2 linked regions of the Drosophila melanogaster genome follow. The protein of the gene in region 2 interacts with the protein of the main gene of each other region in a biochemical or structural test. Each region holds a gene or a part of one and is shown on either strand. Other genes may lie near its edges.

Evidence for each region. The genes of interacting proteins can lie anywhere in the genome.
Region 1: the proteins of Mcm2 (region 2) and Cdc45 form a complex in vitro, tested with the Drosophila melanogaster proteins (one study listed by BioGRID).

Annotation. Positions count from the first base shown.
Region 1 is NC_004354.4:1,027,738-1,032,380, forward strand, and holds Cdc45 (cell division cycle 45), read right to left. Parts: upstream 2,820-4,643; 5' UTR 2,591-2,819; coding exon 1,680-2,590; intron 1,628-1,679; coding exon 811-1,627; 3' UTR 554-810; downstream 1-553. Other genes in the region: CG3021 (uncharacterized protein), read left to right, coding at 1-413; Rpp21 (ribonuclease P/MRP subunit p21), read left to right, coding at 3,106-3,272, 3,332-3,716; CG14630 (uncharacterized protein), read left to right, coding at 3,787-4,373.
Region 2 is NT_033777.3:8,263,377-8,268,477, forward strand, and holds Mcm2 (minichromosome maintenance 2), read left to right. Parts: upstream 1-1,593; 5' UTR 1,594-1,724; coding exon 1,725-3,863; intron 3,864-3,920; coding exon 3,921-4,445; 3' UTR 4,446-4,548; downstream 4,549-5,101. Other genes in the region: RPA1 (replication protein A1), read right to left, coding at 1-595, 653-897, 959-994; CG9630 (uncharacterized protein), read right to left, coding at 4,625-5,101. UniProt on the Drosophila melanogaster protein: Acts as a component of the MCM2-7 complex (MCM complex) which is the replicative helicase essential for 'once per cell cycle' DNA replication initiation and elongation in eukaryotic cells.

The sequences.
Region 1 (4,643 bases), on a different chromosome or scaffold from region 2:
TGAGCTCATTCCTTCAGCCCTATTTTGTGGCCAGGAAAGAGGCCGCAAGCAATACCATCTATGTGGCATCTGGCCACAACCATCCCGCCCTTCTCAGCACCCACATAGCCGTCGATCCGCCCAACTGGCTGTGTTCCAAGTCCCAACAGATTCTTTCGGACACTGGCAGCTTGAGGTGTCGCTTTCGATTCCAGCACACCAAACCATTGGTGGACTGTCAGCTGAGCATCTCTCCCAGTAACACTTTTCTTGTCGAGTTGGACGCTCCTTTAAGAGCTATTACACCAGGACAATATGCCGTATTCTATGACGACACAGCTTGTTTGGGTTCGGCCCGCATCCTCAGCGCTAATCCCCTAAAGAAAAAAAACGCACAGACGCAGCAAGCTCAAGCCGCAAATCTGGTTAGCTAATGATGTTTCCTCTGAGCCAGAAAATAAACCAAATGTAAGAAGGCAGTCCAACTGCCAACACGGCATGTATAGATAGCATGGTAAATACGTTTTCATAAATTTAAGCGCCGAGTAAATTTTAGACGTGAATCGACACTTTTAATTCCATGGTAAACACTTTAATTTAAATTTATTATTCTAGGTCAAATTTACAATTAGTTTTTGAAAAAGGACATTTTGCATTTTGTGGTCCTGGGAGCAATGATAAAGTTATTAACACACAATCGTACATAAATAGGGTTTGGTAAAATCTTAAACTAAGTGTACACGTGAGGTCTCGCGATATAAAACTAGCTTAGCACATAATATGATTGAGCAGGGATGTGTCGGTAGCAGGTAGAATAGAAAGCGGCGTGGATTAGGCTAACAGCACCGTGAGGGAGTCCAGAAAGCGTGTGAGGTCGCTCTGCCGCAGCTGCACCACCGCTGGCTCGAAAAAGTCCTGCAATAGAGCGACTCCACTCTTTTGCGCCGCCTGCTCGAAGGCCTTGCCAAAGAAGTTTCGCGGAGAGTCTTCCCTTACCGGGACAATGCCTACCAGCAAGCACATGCCCTCCGAAGCGTTCAGGGGACAACTTGCGATCAACGGCAAGTCCGAAGCCTGCCTGGCTCTACTCGTGGCCACATGTCCGCGCAAAAGAAAGCGAGCCAACAGTCCAAGGGCATAGGGGTATGAGAAGAACGCGTGTTCCTCCTGCAGAACGTAGTAGAAAAAGGAGCCCGCTGAATGAACTTGGCGTGCCTCCAAGCTGCTCTGCACCTGCCGAAAGACAGCAGCATGCAAAAGCTTCGCCTGGTCGATGCCTGCAGACAGCAGCTGCTTGTGCTGACGACTCAAAGCATCCGAGGCCTCCAGAAAGCAATCCTCCGGAGTCTTGTGCTTCTTCACGGACTCCATGATGGCGAGCAGGGCATAAACGTAGTCCGCCGCAGCATATCTGCTGCGGTAGCCGTAGCTCAGCGTAAAGGTGCCGTAAACTATGTCCGCTATGTCGTACTTCTCCGCCAGGCGCTCCACCATCGAGAAGAACTCCTTGCGCAACACCAAATCCATGGCTCCGTACGTTTGGCGGGCGTGCACCAAGGGAAGTCCCATCTCGAGCAGCAGCTCGTGTAATCTCTTCTCTCCGCGCAGTGTCCACAGCTTCAGCTGGCATGAGGAGTAGCGGGAATACCTACGATTATACTACATGATTAAATGGCATAGAATACACTGTCAATGCTCACCTCATGGATTCCGTGACGGGCCAGTGGCGGTACAAGACCAGATGCAAATCATTCTCGAAGGTTATCTTGGAGGCACTCATCGTGTTCTGATCATTCGTTTTGTTCGTCAGTCGGGACACATGCGACTGGATTTGCTCCAGCTCCAAAGTATACGCTCCACTCTCGATCTTGCCCAGCAGCAGCTGCTCCGTGATGCCCACAATGGCCCACCAGAGCAGGTCCATGTTGTCTTTTGAGAGCTTCCAGGCCAACTCAAAAACCATCAAAGCGGCGGACCTGCCGTAGTAGCTGAACTGCGTGTACTCGAACATAATCCTGTCGCGCTCAGACTCCCACTGTCGGCGGGCTCGCTGCTTCAGGATGCGTTGCTCGTGCCGCTCCAGGCGACTGAGCTTACGGCTCCTTGGCGCCTGATCCTCCTGGTCCGATTCCCCGGCACCACTGTCGTCGTGCTGCTGTTCCGTGTCAGAGGACTCGTCCTCATCCTCGTCTTCACCTTCAGAGTCATAGAAAATTGTCTCGAACGCTGGAATATTCTCCTCCAAGGAGGCATCCCCCAAGATGCACACCTGCCGATCGCTGTAGATGTTACACACATCCAACGGGCGATGTGAATCGCATATGAAGAAGGTCACGTCGTCCGACGGCTGCAGGAGCTCCACAATATCTACACAGCCGCCGCAGTTCACCAACACCACGTACTTAACGTCGCCCTGGTGCTCTCCATAGGCCCGCTTCAGACCCGTAACGCCCATTATGGGCACCACGGTGTACAGCATGTGATCGTACTTGAACAAGGCCTGCAGGATGCGACTGGCGCAGATGGCATCGATGTCGTAGTTGACCACGATCAAGATGCGCTTGCCAACCAGCTGGCGGTAAAAGTCGTTGCGCAGATCCTGGACAAACATGGTGAACACTTCTGGCGGGAATCCCAATCGTCTGCCTAATCTGTCTACGTCTAGACACAACGGTCTCTTTCCAATCGCTTACGATGCAAAGTAGAATTCTACATGAGTGCAGTGCGTTGCATTTTGAGGGTTTCCCTGCGGCTTGCGCTATTTTCCAGCTTCCCACTGCCGCTCCACTTTTGCTTTTCTGGCAATCGCAATTGGCGAATCAAAAACGCGGGAAACAGCTGGCTTAGCCAGTGTGACCAGTGTGAAATAATGGAATGGCGCGGAAATACAATCGTTGCTGGGAAAAGAATATTCTGCGAATTTCCAGAAATTTTGAGCTGCCAAAAACCGAAATTATAATCACATAATGTTGAATTTTGAGAGCTCTTTGCAGTTGCTGCTATTGCAGTAGGAGCAATATCTTGGCGCTCCAGATACGGTCACACCGCGACGCCCATGTGTTTTGAATTGCCACAAAAACGAAAGTCTACCAGTCGACCAGCTTTGTGCGACAAAAGCCTCAGAATATGAGCAGGGACAACAAGATGAAGCACCTGACCCAGCGGGCCATCTCCTCACGCATGAACTACCTGTTCCAGGCCTCGAATTTAATGGCAGTAGGCAATCAACCAAAATTGGCCGCCTATTATGGCAAACTCTGCCGCAATGTGGGCACCAAGGCTATCATGCACATGTAAGTGGCTTCTCCAGTGGAGTATGGGCAAATAATTCATGGCGTCAACTGGTTTCAAGGGCCCCGGCCGTGAAGCGTTCCCTGTGCAGGCGCTGTTTCCTTCCCCTGATTCCCGGAGTGAATACGGAGCTGCATGTGGAGGAAGGAGCACAGGAGGCCAAGACTGATGCACAAGCTCAATCGAACGGAGCAGTCAAAACGAAGAAAAAGCGCCATCGCAGGCAGCGCAAGAAGCCCAGAAGCCGGAAAACAGGGAACACCAACCAGGAGGAATCCGAGGAGCAAATCCAAGAAAGTACTGAACAGGTCTCTTTTTTCTTAGAGTGCTCACTCTGCTGCGGCCGGCGAAGCTTTGCGGCGAACAGTCAAAGAGACTGCTGGTTGGAGCAGCCGCAATCCATAGTGCAAGTGGTCTCGCTCCCCAAAGAGAAAGACGAGCGATAAGCTGAAGCTTTGCTTATCAGCCAGCCTGCCTGTTGTGCCATCACCTGATTGCTCGGCAGTTGAGCCTGGAATGCTTAGCTGTAGGCAACTTATTTCTCGGCTGAGCCTTCTTCGGCAGGCGAGCACATTTGCTTGTGTGCGACTATGCCCCGACTATGTAGAAGTCCAGGAGGAGCAGGGCAATCTCCTGAAGTACCCCCAAGTTTGGCTTAGGGACAACTGTCAGTGTGCCGAGTGCTTCCACGCCGCCACAAGAGCAAGAAAAAGTCACTGGGATCGTGGCCCGCTGAATATACCAGTGTCCCAAGTGGCCTACAACAAGGAGAGGAAACAGTTGGAGATCATCTGGCAGGACAAGCACAGGAGCACCTTCGATCTAGGCTGGCTGAGGGAAAGGGACTTTGGAGAGACTGGCAGAAAGCATTACTTGGAGGAGGTCTACAAGCCACCCGCTCAACTCTGGGGAAAAACGGAGTTCGAGGATGTGAAAAGAGAATTCCAATACGAGGATGTGCTGGAGCAAGATGCAGCCCTGAGAGTTTGGCTTGAGGCACTGGCAGTCCAAGGATTCGCCATTCTGAAAGGGGCACCCAACGACATAAATGTGGCTAAGAAATTGGCCGAACGAATTGGCTACATAAAACGCACCACCTACGGGTAAATATTAACCAATAGATGACATACTTCATCGTACAGTACCAGGGTCATAAAACTCACATTTGCCGAGAGCTGTATTATCTATCAGTCCACTAAATATTATCACTATCGGTTGATTGTTACAGCCAGAATCAGGCAAATATTTTCAACCAGGTGTCCATTTGTACTCATGATAAAGATTTGATTACCACTTACTCACGCTAGATACTACTACAGAATATGCTAGCCACATTTCATAAATTAAAAGGGAAAACACCTTAGTTGCATTAC
Region 2 (5,101 bases):
CACATCGGAAATAGGAACAAGGTTGTACTTAATTTCCGGTATGGGATCATCGTCGGTATCCTCACAAAGCTGGACAACTGTTTCACCGGAAAAAGTCATCTCGTAGGCGTTGTTCAGCGAAGAGTACTGCTTGTTTGCCGGTTTCAATTGACACTTTGATATATAGTACACGCTATCCACTTGAATGAGGTCGTAGAACTTATCGCACTGTTCCTTGAAGGCAGTGGCCCGAATTTCGCCCGATTCGTCCATTAAATCCATGCTGAACAACTTGCCCTCGCCGCGGGCATTGCTCCAGGTGCGAATGCCGGATTTTGAGGTCACGCGAGCCTTAATCACCCACTTATTTTGGTAGGGACTTAGGCTAGAAATGGGATGTGTCATTCCACTATTAATAGAGGAATTCATTACTATGTTATTATTGTTGTTGTGGCTCGGTTCCTTTTTGGCAATTGGCTTGGAATTAGATGTTACTGCTGGCTTAGGCGCCAGATCCTGCTTGGCTGCATTTTCATACGTAACGGGTTCGCCAATTTTGGACTTAACCTCGGCGCCAGGATTCACCACAGTTAGTTCGGAAATGATGAGAACGCGTCTAAAAGGAAAACATATGTTACTATACTGTCGAAAGTCTGTTTTACAGCGTACTTACTTTCCGGCTCCGTCCTTGCCTACCAGTGAGGTCACATATTTATCTAGCTGGACAATGGTGAACTCCTCTAATTCTCCATTGTGCTGCATCACGTTCAGCTGACTGGCCAGCATCGCATAGCTGTTAAAGTACTTGCCGTCGGAGATTAGGATGCGATAGCGCTCTGAGTCCGCTGCGCTGTTAATCTTCTTGATTGCCAGGATCTGGAGAACCGGGGCATCCACAACCTCGCCATGCATAATGCGCTGTGGCCGGTAGTACGATGTGTTACTATACCAATCCATTATTTTAAGCTGGCATACTTACAGCAATCACACCAGTGGACAAAGATGCCAGGACCATTTTGATTATAAAAATAAGTTGGGCAATTTCACAAGCAAATATAATTCATGCGTCGAGGGCTGGGTACAAAGTGAAGCTAGAAGAGGCGGGAAGGGCTTCTGTGTAATTTTGAATCAGTTGTTGCGGAACTAGTTCAATTTGCTTTCCAGTTAGAGCTGTATTTCAGGGCAGTAAAGTTTTGGTTGCTTAAGAGAAAACATTTATTTTACTTTATTATTACTATTTCCTACAGCAACATATTGAGAATAATTGTCTATTATTTTGACACATAGCTTTAAGCTTGACTTACATTGTTTGTGTTAATGCTCACAACTAGTTATTGTAAGCATTTCTATTTCAATGGAATTATAAATATTTAATAACTGTGTGATATTTTATTGACACATTCTTTGTATTAAAGCCTACATTCAGTGCCTTGTAAACTTTTTAAATTGAATGGTGTAATATATATATTTAAAATTTTTTGTAAGCTCTTTAAACTCGGTGATATTTTATTGACACAAGGAAAGTTGTTACAGTCGGGTGTTCTTATAAACATGTATGCAGAAGCGGGTGTCCACTGTATGACCCAGACGTTAACAGCACTGCTTATCGGAACTAGACCGCAGCCCTGAGTTGGCTCGATTAGCAAACATTTTCCCGCGCATTTTCGCACGCGTCGTCACAACAAGATCGGCGGTACAAAACAAAACATATTACAGATAAACGCTAAGCACAACAGACGCACGTAATGGACAATCCCAGTTCACCACCGCCAAATACGCCCAGCGATGCCGCCGAACGCCGCGATCTGCGGGCAGCAATGACGTCGCCGGTTGGCGACTTTGAGCCGTTCGAGAACGAGGACGAGATCCTGGGAGATCAGACCGTTCGCGATGAGGCCGAGGAGGAGGATGGCGAGGAGCTGTTCGGGGACAACATGGAGAACGATTACCGGCCCATGCCTGAGCTGGATCACTACGATCCGGCGCTGCTGGACGACGAGGATGACTTCTCGGAGATGTCCCAGGGCGATCGCTTTGCCGCCGAGTCGGAGATGCGTCGACGCGACCGGGCCGCCGGAATCCACCGCGACGATCGTGATCTGGGTTTCGGTCAGTCCGATGATGAGGACGACGTTGGACCCCGGGCCAAGAGACGAGCTGGCGAGAAGGCAGCTGTTGGCGAGGTAGAGGACACCGAGATGGTGGAGTCTATTGAAAACCTGGAGGATACCAAGGGACACTCAACTAAAGAGTGGGTCAGTATGCTAGGACCACGCACGGAAATCGCCAATCGCTTTCAATCCTTTTTGAGAACTTTTGTGGATGAAAGGGGCGCATACACCTATCGTGATCGCATACGTCGGATGTGCGAGCAGAACATGTCTTCGTTCGTCGTCTCCTACACTGATCTGGCCAACAAGGAACACGTATTGGCCTATTTCCTGCCCGAGGCTCCCTTTCAAATGCTCGAGATTTTCGATAAAGTGGCTAAGGACATGGTGCTCTCCATTTTCCCCACTTACGAACGTGTCACCACAGAGATTCACGTGCGCATCTCGGAGCTGCCGCTGATCGAGGAGCTGCGCACATTCAGAAAACTGCATCTGAACCAGTTGGTTCGCACTTTGGGCGTGGTAACTGCCACCACCGGAGTTCTTCCCCAGCTATCCGTGATCAAGTACGACTGCGTTAAGTGCGGCTATGTGCTGGGTCCCTTCGTTCAGTCGCAAAATACGGAGATAAAGCCCGGTTCCTGCCCAGAGTGCCAGAGCACTGGACCCTTCTCAATCAACATGGAGCAGACGTTGTATCGAAATTATCAAAAGATCACGTTGCAGGAGTCGCCAGGCAGGATTCCAGCCGGACGCATTCCTCGCAGCAAGGATGTCATTTTGCTCGCTGATTTGTGTGATCAATGCAAGCCTGGAGATGAACTTGAGGTCACAGGTATATATACCAATAACTACGATGGCTCCTTGAACACCGACCAAGGATTTCCCGTGTTTGCCACCGTGATTATTGCCAATCATGTGGTTGTAAAGGACTCCAAGCAGGTAGTGCAGTCGCTTACGGACGAGGACATTGCCACCATTCAGAAGTTGAGCAAGGATCCGCGTATCGTAGAGCGTGTAGTAGCATCCATGGCGCCTTCTATATACGGACATGATTATATCAAGAGGGCGCTGGCCTTAGCTCTCTTTGGGGGTGAGTCAAAGAATCCCGGTGAGAAACACAAGGTTAGAGGTGATATAAACCTACTCATCTGTGGAGATCCCGGAACGGCAAAGTCGCAGTTCCTCAAGTACACCGAAAAGGTTGCGCCACGTGCGGTTTTCACGACTGGGCAGGGAGCCAGTGCCGTGGGTCTCACGGCTTATGTGCGCCGCAATCCAGTATCTCGGGAGTGGACATTGGAAGCGGGTGCTCTGGTTCTGGCTGATCAGGGAGTTTGTCTAATCGACGAGTTCGACAAAATGAACGACCAGGATCGTACCTCTATTCACGAAGCCATGGAGCAGCAGTCTATTTCGATTTCCAAGGCTGGTATTGTCACCTCTCTTCAAGCTCGTTGCACCGTGATTGCTGCTGCCAATCCCATTGGCGGTCGCTATGATCCGTCGATGACCTTCTCGGAGAACGTGAATCTCTCGGAGCCCATCCTGTCCCGTTTCGATGTGCTGTGCGTGGTGAAGGACGAATTTGACCCCATGCAGGATCAGCAGCTCGCCAAATTCGTGGTACACTCGCATATGAAGCATCACCCGAGTGAGGAGGAGCAGCCGGAGTTGGAGGAACCACAGCTGAAGACCGTTGATGAGATCCCGCAGGACTTGTTGCGACAATACATTGTATACGCTAAGGAGAACATTCGGCCCAAGCTAACGGTAAGCGAACTTATTGAAATCACAGGAAAAGTGTAACAACATTTCCGTTTCATACAGAACATCGACGAGGACAAGATCGCCAAGATGTACGCCCAGCTGCGACAGGAGTCTTTTGCCACGGGCTCACTGCCCATTACGGTGCGTCACATTGAGAGTGTCATCCGAATGTCCGAAGCGCACGCGCGGATGCATCTGCGCGAAAACGTAATGGAGGCAGATGTCAGCATGGCCATCCGCATGATGTTGGAGAGCTTTATCGAGGCGCAGAAGTTCAGCGTTATGAAGAAGATGCGCAGCACATTCCAGAAGTACCTGTCCTTCCAAAAGGACCATTCCGAGCTGCTGTTCTTTATTCTGCGACAGCTGACGCTCGACCAGCTCGCCTACATTCGCTGCAAGGACGGGCCTGGCGCCACACATGTGGAGATTATGGAGCGGGATTTGATCGAACGGGCTAAGCAGCTGGATATTGTAAACCTGAAGCCGTTCTACGAATCAGATCTGTTTCGCACAAATGGCTTCTCTTACGATCCCAAGCGACGCATCATCCTTCAAATTGTGGTCGACGGCAACACAGCTTAAGTTTCAGCCATTTACTTCATCTCATTTAGTTATAGTATTCATGTTTTGTTACCCCCATTTTCGGTCTAATAAAGTTTGATATACTTATGTATGTATTTATACTAAAATAGGTATTTGAATTGAAATTTATACTTCCGTAAATATTTTTTATTGTGCATACAAATCAGCCCCAGAGTATGTCAATCGTTGTTCCCTTCGATGCCCATGGCTTTGTCGAAATCTTCCTCGCTAATCTTGTTCTTTTTCAGCCGCTTGAAGAGCCGAATATCGCTGGCCAGTTCATCGAGGTCCTCCTGGCTGAACTGCTGCCTCTTTTTTCCCTTCCCGGACCTGCTCGCCTCCGCCTCTGCCGCTTTCTTTCGCTGCTTCTTCGCCTTGCGCAGCTCCTTCTTAGACTTGGCATCCAGTTTTGCCTTCTTTGTCTGATCCCAGGACTCAACACGCTTTTTGTGCTGCTTTTGGCCCGGCCAGCTTCCCGTTTGCTCGTAAGTTTCCATTTTCTTTTGCCGGACTTGTTCTTTCTGGGCGTTTTTGTAGGTAAGTTTGGATAAATCCACTTCAAAAGCAGGCGCCACATAGCCGCCGCCCTGGTAGTTCTTTAGCTCCGGCATGCGTGGCAGTTGCAGGAGACCGTAAGCAGTGGCCATCTTGCCCAG